Linked DNA regions of Rattus norvegicus. The protein of the gene in region 1 interacts with the protein of each later gene in a pairwise test. Links are inferred from orthologs where the notes say so. Each region holds a gene or a part of one and is shown in the gene's direction. Other genes may lie near its edges.

Region 1 (3,650 bases):
TGATGTGTGTTAGTATATATGTGTATGATCATGTGTGTGCCATAGTCCTTGAGGACTGTATTAGTTATTTGTCTTGTTGCTTTGGCAAAACACCTGACCAAAGCAACTTAAGAAAGGAAAGATTGATTCTGAGTTACAATTCCAAGCTACCGTCTGGGAAGTCACAATGGCAGAAACACAGATGGTTGGTCACATTACGCCCATAGTTAGGAAGCTTAGGAAACAGAGAGACGAGTGCTTGTGTTCACTTTGCTTTTTTCTTTAAAAAGTTGTATGTGCGTGTATGCGCATTCCTTTGTATCTGCCATGGCATGTGTATTTTATATGCCATGGCATGTGTATTTGTATCTGCCATGGCATGTGTATTTGTATCTGCCGTGGCATGTGTATTTGTATATGCCATGGCATGAGTATTTGTATATACCATGGCATGTGTATTTGTATATGCCATGGCATGTGTATTTGTATATACCATGGCATGTGTATTTGTATATGCCATGGCATGTGTATTTGTATATGCCATGGCATGAGTATTTGTATATGCCATGGCATGTGTATTTGTATCTGCCATGGCATGTGTATTTGTATATGCCATGGCATGTGTATTTGTATATGCCATGGCATGTATATGGAGGTCAGGACTCTTCCACCATGTGAGCTCCAGGGATTGAACTCAGGTCATCAGACCTATCAGCAAGCACCTTTATCCACTGAGCTTTCTTGTGTCTCTGCTTCTTCTCTTTCATTCACTCCAGGACCCCAGACCATGGAGTGGATCATCCATGTTTAGGGTGGGTCTTTCCACTCCCTTAACTTAACTTAGAAAATCTCTCACAGACATGCCCATAGACTTGTCTCCAGAGTGATTCTACCTCCTGTCAAATTGACAAGATAAAACATCAGAACGACTAAGAATGGACCACAGAAGGACCACAAAGAGTTGATATTTATGTAGGAATATCATGATAGTGTTTCACCAAAAGAAGAGAGCATTAGGCAGGCCGATGGATGGATAGGATTGCTCACTCTAGGCTACAAAGAGCCCACAGTAGCTTTGGGGAGGGAACATATGGGCCTACCAATGGGAATTTGAAAAGTTATGTGAAGAAGAGGACATCTGGAGCTGGGCTGTTGAAGGATGAGCAGAGGTTTACCAAATAGCATCGTGGGAGTGACAGTGAGCTTATAAGCTAGCAAGTACTGATATCAGTTTAAACAAGAAGCCTTACCATCCATCATTCACAGGTCTTATCTCTGTGTCCCTCCAGTGACTGTCCCTTCTGCCGAATCTGCCATGAGGGAGCAAATGGGGAGAACTTGCTGTCCCCATGTGGCTGTACTGGCACCCTGGGAGCTGTGCACAAGAGCTGCCTGGAGAAATGGCTGTCTTCCTCCAACACCAGCTACTGTGAGCTGTGTCACACTGAGTTTGCAGTGGAAAAGCGGCCCCGACCTCTCACAGAGGTATATTGCTTGGGGGAGACTGGACATCCAGAAGGAGGAAGGGCAGTTTGAGGACAGATGTAGCAGCGACCCAGGTCAGCTGGGAAAGCTGGTTATGTTCCTGCCTGTGCTGGGAGGGATCTGCTGATCTGTGGGAACCCAACAGGTCTGCAAGCCCCTCCCTGCCGTGCCCTACCCCCCTCTCCTCTGGGATTGTTGTTTGGTTTTGTGTTTGAAACACTCTCAAGTGTCCTAGGCTGTCCTCATAGTAGCTTTTAGCTGAAGATGACTTTCCAACTCCTGATCATTCAGCTTCCACTGTGCAAATGCTGGGATTACAGGCATGCTGTATCACCTCAGGTTTATGCAGTACTAGCAGTGGAACTCAGGGCTTCATGCATGCTAGGCTAGCTTTCTACCAACTGAGTCATAATCCCAGTCCTAGCCAGCTCCCCACTTTTAATATTATAATTAGCCTTTAATTTGCCACTTTCCTCCTGTCTCTGGTTCCTGAGTGTTATGAGTATGAACATGTAATACCATGCTGGGCTAGCTTTGTTTGTTTTTTGTTTTTTGTAAAGTAGGTATTGTCATTTTATCTCAGGGAGGCCTGGGACTCAGGGTTAGGTTATGGAGGTGCTCCTACTTTGACTGTCAGGATCACAAGGCTTGAACACTAGGGCTACCGTTGTTAGTTCTTTCTTATATTTTTGAGATGTGGTCTCATGTAACCTACAGCTTGCTTTATTATAACAGACTGGCTTTAAAGTCCTGATCCTGGGATTAATAAGTTCATCACCACGCCTAGGTTTTTACTTGTTTACATCTGTCGTCTGTCTATCTATTTTTTTTTTTTTTTGGTTCTTTTTTTCGGAGCTGGGGACCGAACCCAGGGCCTTGCGCTTCCTAGGCAAGTGCTCTACCACTGAGCCAAATCCCCAATCCCTGTCTATCTATTTTTAAGACAAGGCTACATCATGTAACCCTGGCTAGCTTGGTACTTGCTATGCAGACCAAGCTGGCTTTGAGCTATCTGTGAGCCTCATGTTCCAGCTACCACAGTTGTTGGGGGTAGTTTTTGAGGCAGGGTCTCTCTAAGTAGCTCTAAAACTGGCGTAGAAATCCCTATGAAGGCCAGGCTAGGCTCCCAGAGATCCACCTACCTCTGCTTCCTGAGGGCTGGAATTAATGTTATGTTCTACCATGTCATCCCATTGTTTCTTCTTCAAATACCTTAAAAATTAAATTATATGTATATATGTATGTTTCTCTCCCTCTCCCTCTCCCTTCCTTTCTGTCCCTGTGTCTGTCCCTGTCCCTGTCCCTCCCTCTCTCTTCCTTTCTGTCCCTGTGTCTGTCCCTGTCCCTGTCCCTCCCTCTCTCTTCCTTTCTGTCCCTGTGTCTGTCCCTGTCCCCCCCAACCCCGTATATGTGTATATGTGTGTATGTGTGTGTGTGTGTGTGTGTGTGTGTGTGTGCGCGTGTGCGTGTGATACGCATGTGCCATAGATTATGAGTGTATATTACAGGACAGCATGTAGAAGTTAGTTATCTCATGTGGGACCTGGGAACAAACTCAACTTGTCAGGCTTGGTGCTTGACAAGTGCCTTTACCTGCTTAACCATCTCACCCTACTCCCCCTACTCCCTCTCTCTCTCTCATCTACCTACCTACCTACCTACCTACCTACCTACCTACCTATCATAGGCCCAGTTGACCCAAAGCTTGGAATCCTCCTGTCCCAGACTTTTCTGGTTTCTGGGGTTACCAGTAGGTGCTACCAAGCTCAGATCACAAAGTGTTTCTTTGAGTACCTCTGGTGTGCCCAGTGTTTTGTCAAGTGCTGGTCCTGGTCACCAGGACACCCAGAGTTAATAATGGCCACATGATCTCCAGACAGGCTAGTTGGTAGGGATAATTATGAGGGTGTCTTAGTTCCTATTCTGTTTGCTGTGATAAAATACCCTGACAAGGGGGCTGGAGAGATGGCTGAGTGGTTAAGAGCACTGACTGCTCTTCCAGAGGTCCTGAGTTCAAATCCCAGCAACCACATGGTGGCTCACAACCATCTGTAATAGGATCGGATGCCCTCCTCTGGTGTGTCTGAAGACAGCTACAGTGTATAATAAATAAATAAATCTTTTAAAAAAAAATACCCTGACAAAACACGTTAAACAGGAAAGACTTTGTTATGACTCAGAGTTCC
Region 2 (3,650 bases), on another chromosome or scaffold:
GCTCTACCACTGAGCTAAATCCCCAGCCCCAGTGCTACACACCCTTAATCCTAGCACTTGGGACGTGAAAGCAGGCGGATCTCCGTGAGTTCAAGGCCAGGCTGAACACAGTGAGTTAGGATAGCCAGAGCTAGATAGGCAGAGACTCTATCTTGAAAAACATAAGAAACAAAGGGAATTAGGGGAGCACAAGTCTAGAGTATGGGACATCTGCCAGCTTCTCCTTAACTGCTGTCTCTGCCATGCCTAGAGTTTGTGGCATTTGGTAGTCGCACAACAAATTCTTAGCTCACACTTAGCACCTACTGTTTCAGAATAATCATTCAGCTAACCAGCCCCCAGCAAACCACAGTAACTCTCCCCGTCCCGGCTTAGCCCTCGAGGAGGCTGAGACCCAGCAAAGCAAATGCCCACGGTTCTGGGGGGTACTAGAACAGATGATAGGCCGGAGGTGAGCAAAGGCTCTGGCTTTTGGCATCAAACAGAACAGGGGTGACCCGGATGTTTGTTTCTTGGAACCTCGGTTTGTCATCTACAAAGGTCAAGTCACAGCCAGTCCATGGTGGCAGGGAGCTCAAGGAGCTGGAAGGGGCTGGTCATATCAGACCCGCAATGGAAAGAGGAGAGGGGTGAATGCAGAGACTGTCTGCTGCTCGGACTCTCCACTTCCGCAGTCCAGCATCCATTTAGGGAATAGTATTGCCCACTTCAATGAGTACAATCAGGATAATCCTTCCCCCCTCCCCTCTGCTTCCCAACCCAACCCCCCCATCCCATTCCCACGAAAGCATGCTCTGAGACTGCTCTGGGTACACAGATGTCCACTGTCCTATGCCCCTGATCATGAGGATAGGCTAGGAAGGACATGAAGGAGAGATACCCTGTATGAAGCAGAGGCTAGCCCCTAATGGCATTTGGTGATGGTGGAGGACAGGCAGGACCAGAGAGTGTCATGGAAGGCTTAGGAATGCTTCCTCTCGCCCTAGTACTCCCTCACTAGGGAGGGCTGCCTGCACCTGGGATCTTGGGGGGATCCCTGCACCTCTTCATTGTCTTCCCCTCCACAGGCTGTGGCCCCCTCTGCTACTCACGCCGCGGGGCCTGCCTTTCTGTCTTCCTGCTGCTTCTGCTGGCCATGCTTGCCGCCTTGCTCTTGATCGTCACCATCCTGGGACATCCACAGCGCACACCAGGTCAGGGGGCAAGAAGGAGGCTTGGAGGCTCAGGGAGACGGGAGCCCCAGCCCTGCCTGGCTTCTTCCTGAGTGACTTGAGTGGTTCCTTAAGGTGCATGCAGAGGTACCTGTCAGTGTGTGGTTACAAGGCTGAGAGGCTATTTGTGTACATATCCTTGTCATGCGCTATTTTAATTTTTTTATTTCATCTTTATAAAGTTTATGTTTATGTGTATGGGTGTTTTTCCTGCACATATATGTCTATGCCACATGTGTGCTTGGTGCCCAGGGGTGACAGAAGATGATGTCAAACCCCTTGGAACTGTACTTACAGATGGTTAGGAGTATCCATATGGGTGTTGGAAATTGAACCCAGGTCCTCTGGAAGAGCAACAAATGCTCTTGACCACTGACTGAACCGCCTCTCCAGTCCCAGCATGATCTATTGAGAGGTCCTGGTTTTGATGTTTCTTCCTCTAAGAAATTCTCTCTGACCCCTGAGCTGGGCTAGGAGCTTCCTTTCAGTTCCCACAGCCACTGCATTTCTTATTCTCCAGGCCTGGCCAGCCTGGTTAGTACTTTCAACTACCCATCAGGCTGGGCCCAGAAGTTCCCTGCAGTCTGACCTCAGTGCTGAGCTGCCCAGTGCAGTCCCCACCCTCAGGGAGCAGTTCAGAGAACTCTATGAGTTTGATCCAATAAACACTCGGGCCTAATGGGAGACCAGGAGTCTGGAGCCAGGGCTCTCCTCCCATCAGTGTGGTGGGAGTTAGGGTGAGGAGCACCATGGGAGGTGGAATAGACTTGAAGTGAGAAGGGAAAGCAGGGATTGGTTAGCAAAGAGTGTAAGGGATAGCATCCAGCATAGGGACCAGTGTGTGTGGAGTTCCTATGGTGGAAGGAAGCATACGGAGAAGGAGAGATGGCAAGAAGACAGTGGGAGAGTAACAGAGGAAGGGAGTGAGGGAGTGGGCTCAGTGCCTAGGGCCTCAGGAGCTGCCCTTGGGAGGGAGGTCATATGCCAGGAGCTTAGAGAGAGGTCCCATCCTTCGAAGAACTAGCTTTCTGAGAGAGGGCTCCATGGCCAGGCAGGGCTGCTGTAAGGGACGAGGAAGAGGAAAGGTGAAATCATAGCAGAAGGGGGAGTTGCAGCCATAGACCTGTGTATGCACATGTGTGTGAGTGCCCGTGTGCATGCAATGCACATGCCTGCTTGCTTGTGTTCACTTGTGTGTGTGTGTGTGTGTGTGTGTGTGTGTGTGTGTGTGTGTGTGAATGCCTGTATGTGTGCAGGTGCCTGCCTGCCTGCGCGTACATTAATGCACATGTCGGTGTGTCTGTGAACGTGTGTCAGTGCATGTTCGAGTGTCTGTGTGTGCATCTGTTGCTGTATGCATGTGCACGAAGGTACAGGTGTGTGCATGTGAGTACACATGAATGTGTTCATTTTCCTGTGTGCATCTGTGACAATGTGTATATCTAAGGGTGCCTCTTATGACTAGCTGCGGTAGCTCTGGGAATGGAGACATGACTCCTACTGGCTCAAATACACTTGCACATGTGTCCATAGGCACAGCCTATGACCTCCATCTCCTTAAGTCAGTTTCTCCTTTAAATCTTGTGGCCACCTTTAAGGGTGAGCTTAAGGGTAACATTTCTTATGAGTACTTGGAGGAACAATAAAAAAAATTATGGAAGTTTGCTGACTGTTAAGGTATACCCAGCCAGAAGGGATTATGACATGCAGTCCCCAGACAGCCAAATATACAGCTTCCAACAAGCTAACCTGTTCCAGGAGATCCATCATTAAATCTGTATGATGCTGTCCTTAGTGCTTCCTGTGTGACCAAACCACCCTGCACAGCCTGTGAGCCAGTGTCTAAAACAACCATGTTTCCCAACATGCCACCTACCTCTGGGGCTAGGCTATGACCTCTATTTTGAGGACAAAGGACCTTAGGCTATAGAAGGCCAGGTCACCTGTGCCTGTCATGCTGTGGCATAGGCAGAGTGGCAGCTTCAAGTCCACATATGCCTTGGAGTTCAGAGCCTCTCCACTGCCCGAGGCCCTCTAGGAGCTCAAAGGGGCTCCCTGAGGGACCTAGTGCAGTGCCCACCTTGCCCACCCCAGGGCTGCCTGTATGAGTTCTACCTTCACTCTAGGGTCTCTCTTGCCCCTACAGAGCCTCACTCTTGTGTGACACTGGCCAACAGGACGGGGTTCTTGTGCCATGACCGAAGGTACTGCATCCCGGCCCATGCCGTGTGTGATGGCATCCGCACCTGTCCTCATGGTGAGGACGAGGCTGAGAACTTGTGTCGTGAGTACCCCTCAATCCCATACCCCTCTTCATCCCCATAACCACATTAACTCCCCTTGCAGCTCTGTGGACTATCCCTAGGTACCACCTCCATGTCCTCATGCCCATGGTACCTCAGCCCAGACCTTCTGCTACAAGGGTAGGGAACACTGCAC
Region 3 (3,650 bases), on another chromosome or scaffold:
ACTGTTGGGATTACATGTGTGCACCACTTTACCTGGTTGATTAATTTTAATCTTGACAAAAGTGGTAAAATTGAATGTTATAGAGGCTAGAGAGATGCCCCAGTGGTTAAGAGCACTGGCTGCTCTTGAAGACTTGGGTGTGGTTCTCAGAACCCACATAGTGGCTCCCAACTTACCAGTAACTCCAGTCCAGGGAACTGATGCCCTCTTCTGTCCTCCCAGGGCACCAGACACACATGTAGTAAGTACATGCACATATATACAGGCAAAACACTCCTGCAATAAAAATAAAATTTTAAATAAAAATCAATTTAAGAAACTAACTGTTACTAAAACATTAAGAAGTTGGGAACTGACGATATATCTTCATTTTATTTATTTTATGTTATATAAATATTTTAATGGCATGCATGCCCATTGGATTTCTGGTACTGGGAGTATGGGTGTTTGTGAGCCATCATGTGGGTGCTGAGAATCAACCCCAGGTCCTCTGCAAGAGCACGGTGCCCTTAACTTCTGAGTTCTCTCTCCAGCCCTTTTGTTTCCTTAACTGGGGCGGGGGTCTGCGGGGTTACATGAGCAGAGGCATTACCTGTGTTGGCAGCTCCTCTGCCACAGAGCCACATCCCAGCCTCAGCCATGGGTTTGATTTTAGCACTACCAAAATAGTAAAGTGATAGGGTCACAGAGATGGTTAACAGGTAGTCTGCACACAAGCCTGAGGGCCTGAGCTCAAGCCTCAGTCCCCATATAAATGTGCAAGGAGAGGAGGATCAGCTCCACACAGATGCTTCTGGTGACCACATGGGTATCATGGCACACATGGCCATACAAATGTAACACAGTATCTTTTTAGGTTAAATTAAGTAATGGGAAAAAGCAAAAAGTGCCCATTCTCCCATTCTGTGGGGCTCACCCCGCTCTGGGGATCACCCCGCTCTGGGGCATCACTCTGCTTTAAGGGGATCACCCTGCTCCAAGGGATCACCCTGCTCTGAGGGGATCATCCTGCTTTGAGGGGATCACCCCACTCTGGGGGATCACCCCGCTCTGGGGGATCACCACTCTAAGCATTTTGGTGTGAGCCTGGTCCAATTTGATTTTGTGTAGTCATCTACAAGGGATCTTTGGTGATTCTAAGAAGTGAATGGAGTCCATAGAGACAGAGCTCACATCTTCTCAGTCTGCCTTAACATCTTCCTGTTAGACCTCCTTGCTCTCTACCCCACAGTACACCATCTTGAGTAACCTCAGCCCACTGTGTTTACAGGGCCGCGGAGGGCTGGGCTCCATCTTTGTCTGGGCCTCAGGGAACGGGGGCCGGGAACATGACAGCTGTAACTGTGACGGCTACACCAACAGCATCTACACGCTGTCCATCAGCAGTGCCACACAATTCGGCAACGTGCCCTGGTACAGTGAGGCCTGCTCCTCCACACTGGCCACCACCTACAGCAGTGGCAACCAGAATGAGAAGCAGATTGTGAGTCTTGCCCAGGGCTGGGGGCTGGGAGGGGAGGCTCCTTGCTCTCTGCTCAGGGCGCCATTAGGCCTTATCCACTCTCGTCCCTGTGTGGCTGAATAGAGTAGCTTGGGCCTTGTGCAGTTACCCTGTGAGCTGGGGATTCCCCCAGACCTCTGAGGGCTACCAAACCATCCCCGACCCCCTGAGAAGTATAGACTCTCCCTAGAAATATCCCTTATGCTCCAACCTCTGACTGTTTCCCAATTATTCCTTGAGAACCTTGGCCCTAGAAGGAGCTATGCATGGTAGTAAGGTAGAAGCTGGACCTCAGGTGTCTTAACTGATTCACTGTACCATCTAGGGTACCCAGGTCCGATAGACAAAAGGACAGGCAGGTGGCTCCTCCTCCAGATATCCATCAGGTCTCACCACTGTTGTTCCCTGGCAGGTGACAACTGACCTGAGGCAGAAGTGCACTGAGTCTCACACAGGCACCTCAGCCTCCGCCCCTTTGGCAGCTGGTATCATTGCTCTCACCCTGGAGGCCAAGTAAGTGGGCAAGCAACAGCCCGCCCCCACCAGTGCCCCTAAAAGCAGCTGTTTTCTGCAGCCACGGTCCAAAAAGCCTGACCCAGACATTTTCTCCTTTGCAGCAAGAACCTCACCTGGCGGGACATGCAGCACCTGGTGGTGCAGACCTCAAAGCCAGCACATCTCAACGCTAACGATTGGGCCACCAATGGCGTGGGCCGGAAAGGTGAGGGCAAGGTAACCCAGAGGTTTAGGCTCTGAGGCAAGATGGGGGCTCTCCTACCTCCCATTAACCCTTCCCTGCCTCCACAGTGAGCCATTCCTATGGCTACGGGCTGTTGGATGCAGGTGCCATGGTGGCCCTGGCCCAGAACTGGACAACAGTGGCCCCCCAGCGGAAGTGCATCATTGAAATCCTGGCAGAGCCCAAGTAAAGACTGGACCTGAGTGGGAGGGAGCTTCTGGGGTGCCCTCTGTTACTGCTGGCCTGGTTACTGACTCACTGGTGCTCATTGCACAGGGACATTGGCAAACGGCTAGAGGTGCGCAAGACCGTGACAGCGTGCCTGGGTGAGCCCAACCACATCTCCAGACTGGAACACGTTCAGGCACGGCTCACCCTGTCTTACAATCGCCGTGGTGACCTGGCTATCCACCTCATCAGCCCCATGGGCACCCGTTCCACCCTATTAGCTGCCAGGTGCTCTCCATGTTTCCTTCTCATGTCCTACATCATTCCCTCCTTTGTCCCCAAGACTCTAGCCACCAGTAACACGTGGGAGGGACAGCTCGTCCTTGTGACTCCCTCAGCATAGGAGCCCTTGCTTAGACTGCTGTCTGACATGCCAGCCATGTCCCTTGTGAAATAGGGCCCCTGGCTAAGGACACTTGGGAGACAGCTTGCCCGAGATGTGCTTCCAGTCCAGCAGGTTGCCTCGTGGGGAGGGGTGGTGCATGTCCCATGTGTCATGGGCTAGGTGTCCCCTGACCTGGGTTCCTGAAGTCTAAAGCCTCAGATGGCTATAAGGAACTCTCTTCCTCCAGACCACATGACTACTCTGCTGATGGATTTAATGACTGGGCTTTCATGACAACTCATTCCTGGGATGAGGACCCCTCTGGCGAGTGGGTCCTAGAGATTGAAAATACCAGCGAGGCCAACAACTATGGTACTGGACACACTGACAAGTGGAGGGTGGGAGAGAGCCGGTGGGACCTAGGGTGTTAGCAAGGTGCTCACACCCCTGACCCTTTTCTCTTACCAACTCTGGAATAGGGACGCTGACCAAGTTCACTCTCGTCCTATATGGCACAGCCTCTGAGGGTCTCTCTGCACCTCCAGAGAGCAGCGGCTGCAAGACCCTCACATCCAGCCAGGCCTGCGTGGGTCAGTAGTGACGTGATCAAGGCTGGGGAATTGGGGGGAATGGGGTTGGAACAGTGGAGTTGGAGGGGCCAGTGAACTTTAGAGAAAAACCTCCTGGGGACTGTGGGGACTACTTAGGACTGTAGGTCTGTGGAGCCTGGGCGGAGCTCAGGGACTCAGAGGCCATTGTTCACTTGACTAACACGCCCTCCTCTCCTGTGCTGGCAGTGTGTGAGGAAGGTTTCTCACTGCACCAGAAAAGCTGTGTCCAGCGTTGCCCACCAGGCT

What was found. The genes of interacting proteins can lie anywhere in the genome.
Region 2: the proteins of Marchf2 (region 1) and Ldlrad1 interact in binary tests that used the Homo sapiens proteins (3 or more experiments, as listed by UniProt). The two-hybrid records come from large-scale screens. The link is inferred for Rattus norvegicus from reciprocal best matches to the Homo sapiens genes MARCHF2 and LDLRAD1.
Region 3: the proteins of Marchf2 (region 1) and Furin interact in a protein complementation assay, tested with the Homo sapiens proteins (2 studies listed by BioGRID). The link is inferred for Rattus norvegicus from reciprocal best matches to the Homo sapiens genes MARCHF2 and FURIN.

What each region holds. Positions count from the first base shown.
Region 1 is NC_086025.1:15,192,768-15,196,417, reverse strand, and holds part of Marchf2 (E3 ubiquitin-protein ligase MARCHF2), read left to right. Parts: intron 1-1,245; coding exon of another isoform or gene 1,246-1,268; coding exon 1,269-1,464; intron 1,465-3,650. UniProt on the Homo sapiens protein: E3 ubiquitin-protein ligase that may mediate ubiquitination of TFRC and CD86, and promote their subsequent endocytosis and sorting to lysosomes via multivesicular bodies.
Region 2 is NC_086023.1:127,222,865-127,226,514, forward strand, and holds part of Ldlrad1 (low-density lipoprotein receptor class A domain-containing protein 1), read left to right. Parts: intron 1-1,067; coding exon 1,068-1,193; intron 1,194-3,357; coding exon 3,358-3,495; intron 3,496-3,650.
Region 3 is NC_086019.1:143,759,359-143,763,008, reverse strand, and holds part of Furin (furin precursor), read left to right. Parts: intron 1-1,270; coding exon 1,271-1,483; intron 1,484-1,913; coding exon 1,914-2,014; intron 2,015-2,118; coding exon 2,119-2,222; intron 2,223-2,308; coding exon 2,309-2,426; intron 2,427-2,516; coding exon 2,517-2,696; intron 2,697-3,040; coding exon 3,041-3,165; intron 3,166-3,272; coding exon 3,273-3,383; intron 3,384-3,590; coding exon 3,591-3,650. UniProt on the Homo sapiens protein: Ubiquitous endoprotease within constitutive secretory pathways capable of cleavage at the RX(K/R)R consensus motif. Mediates processing of TGFB1, an essential step in TGF-beta-1 activation.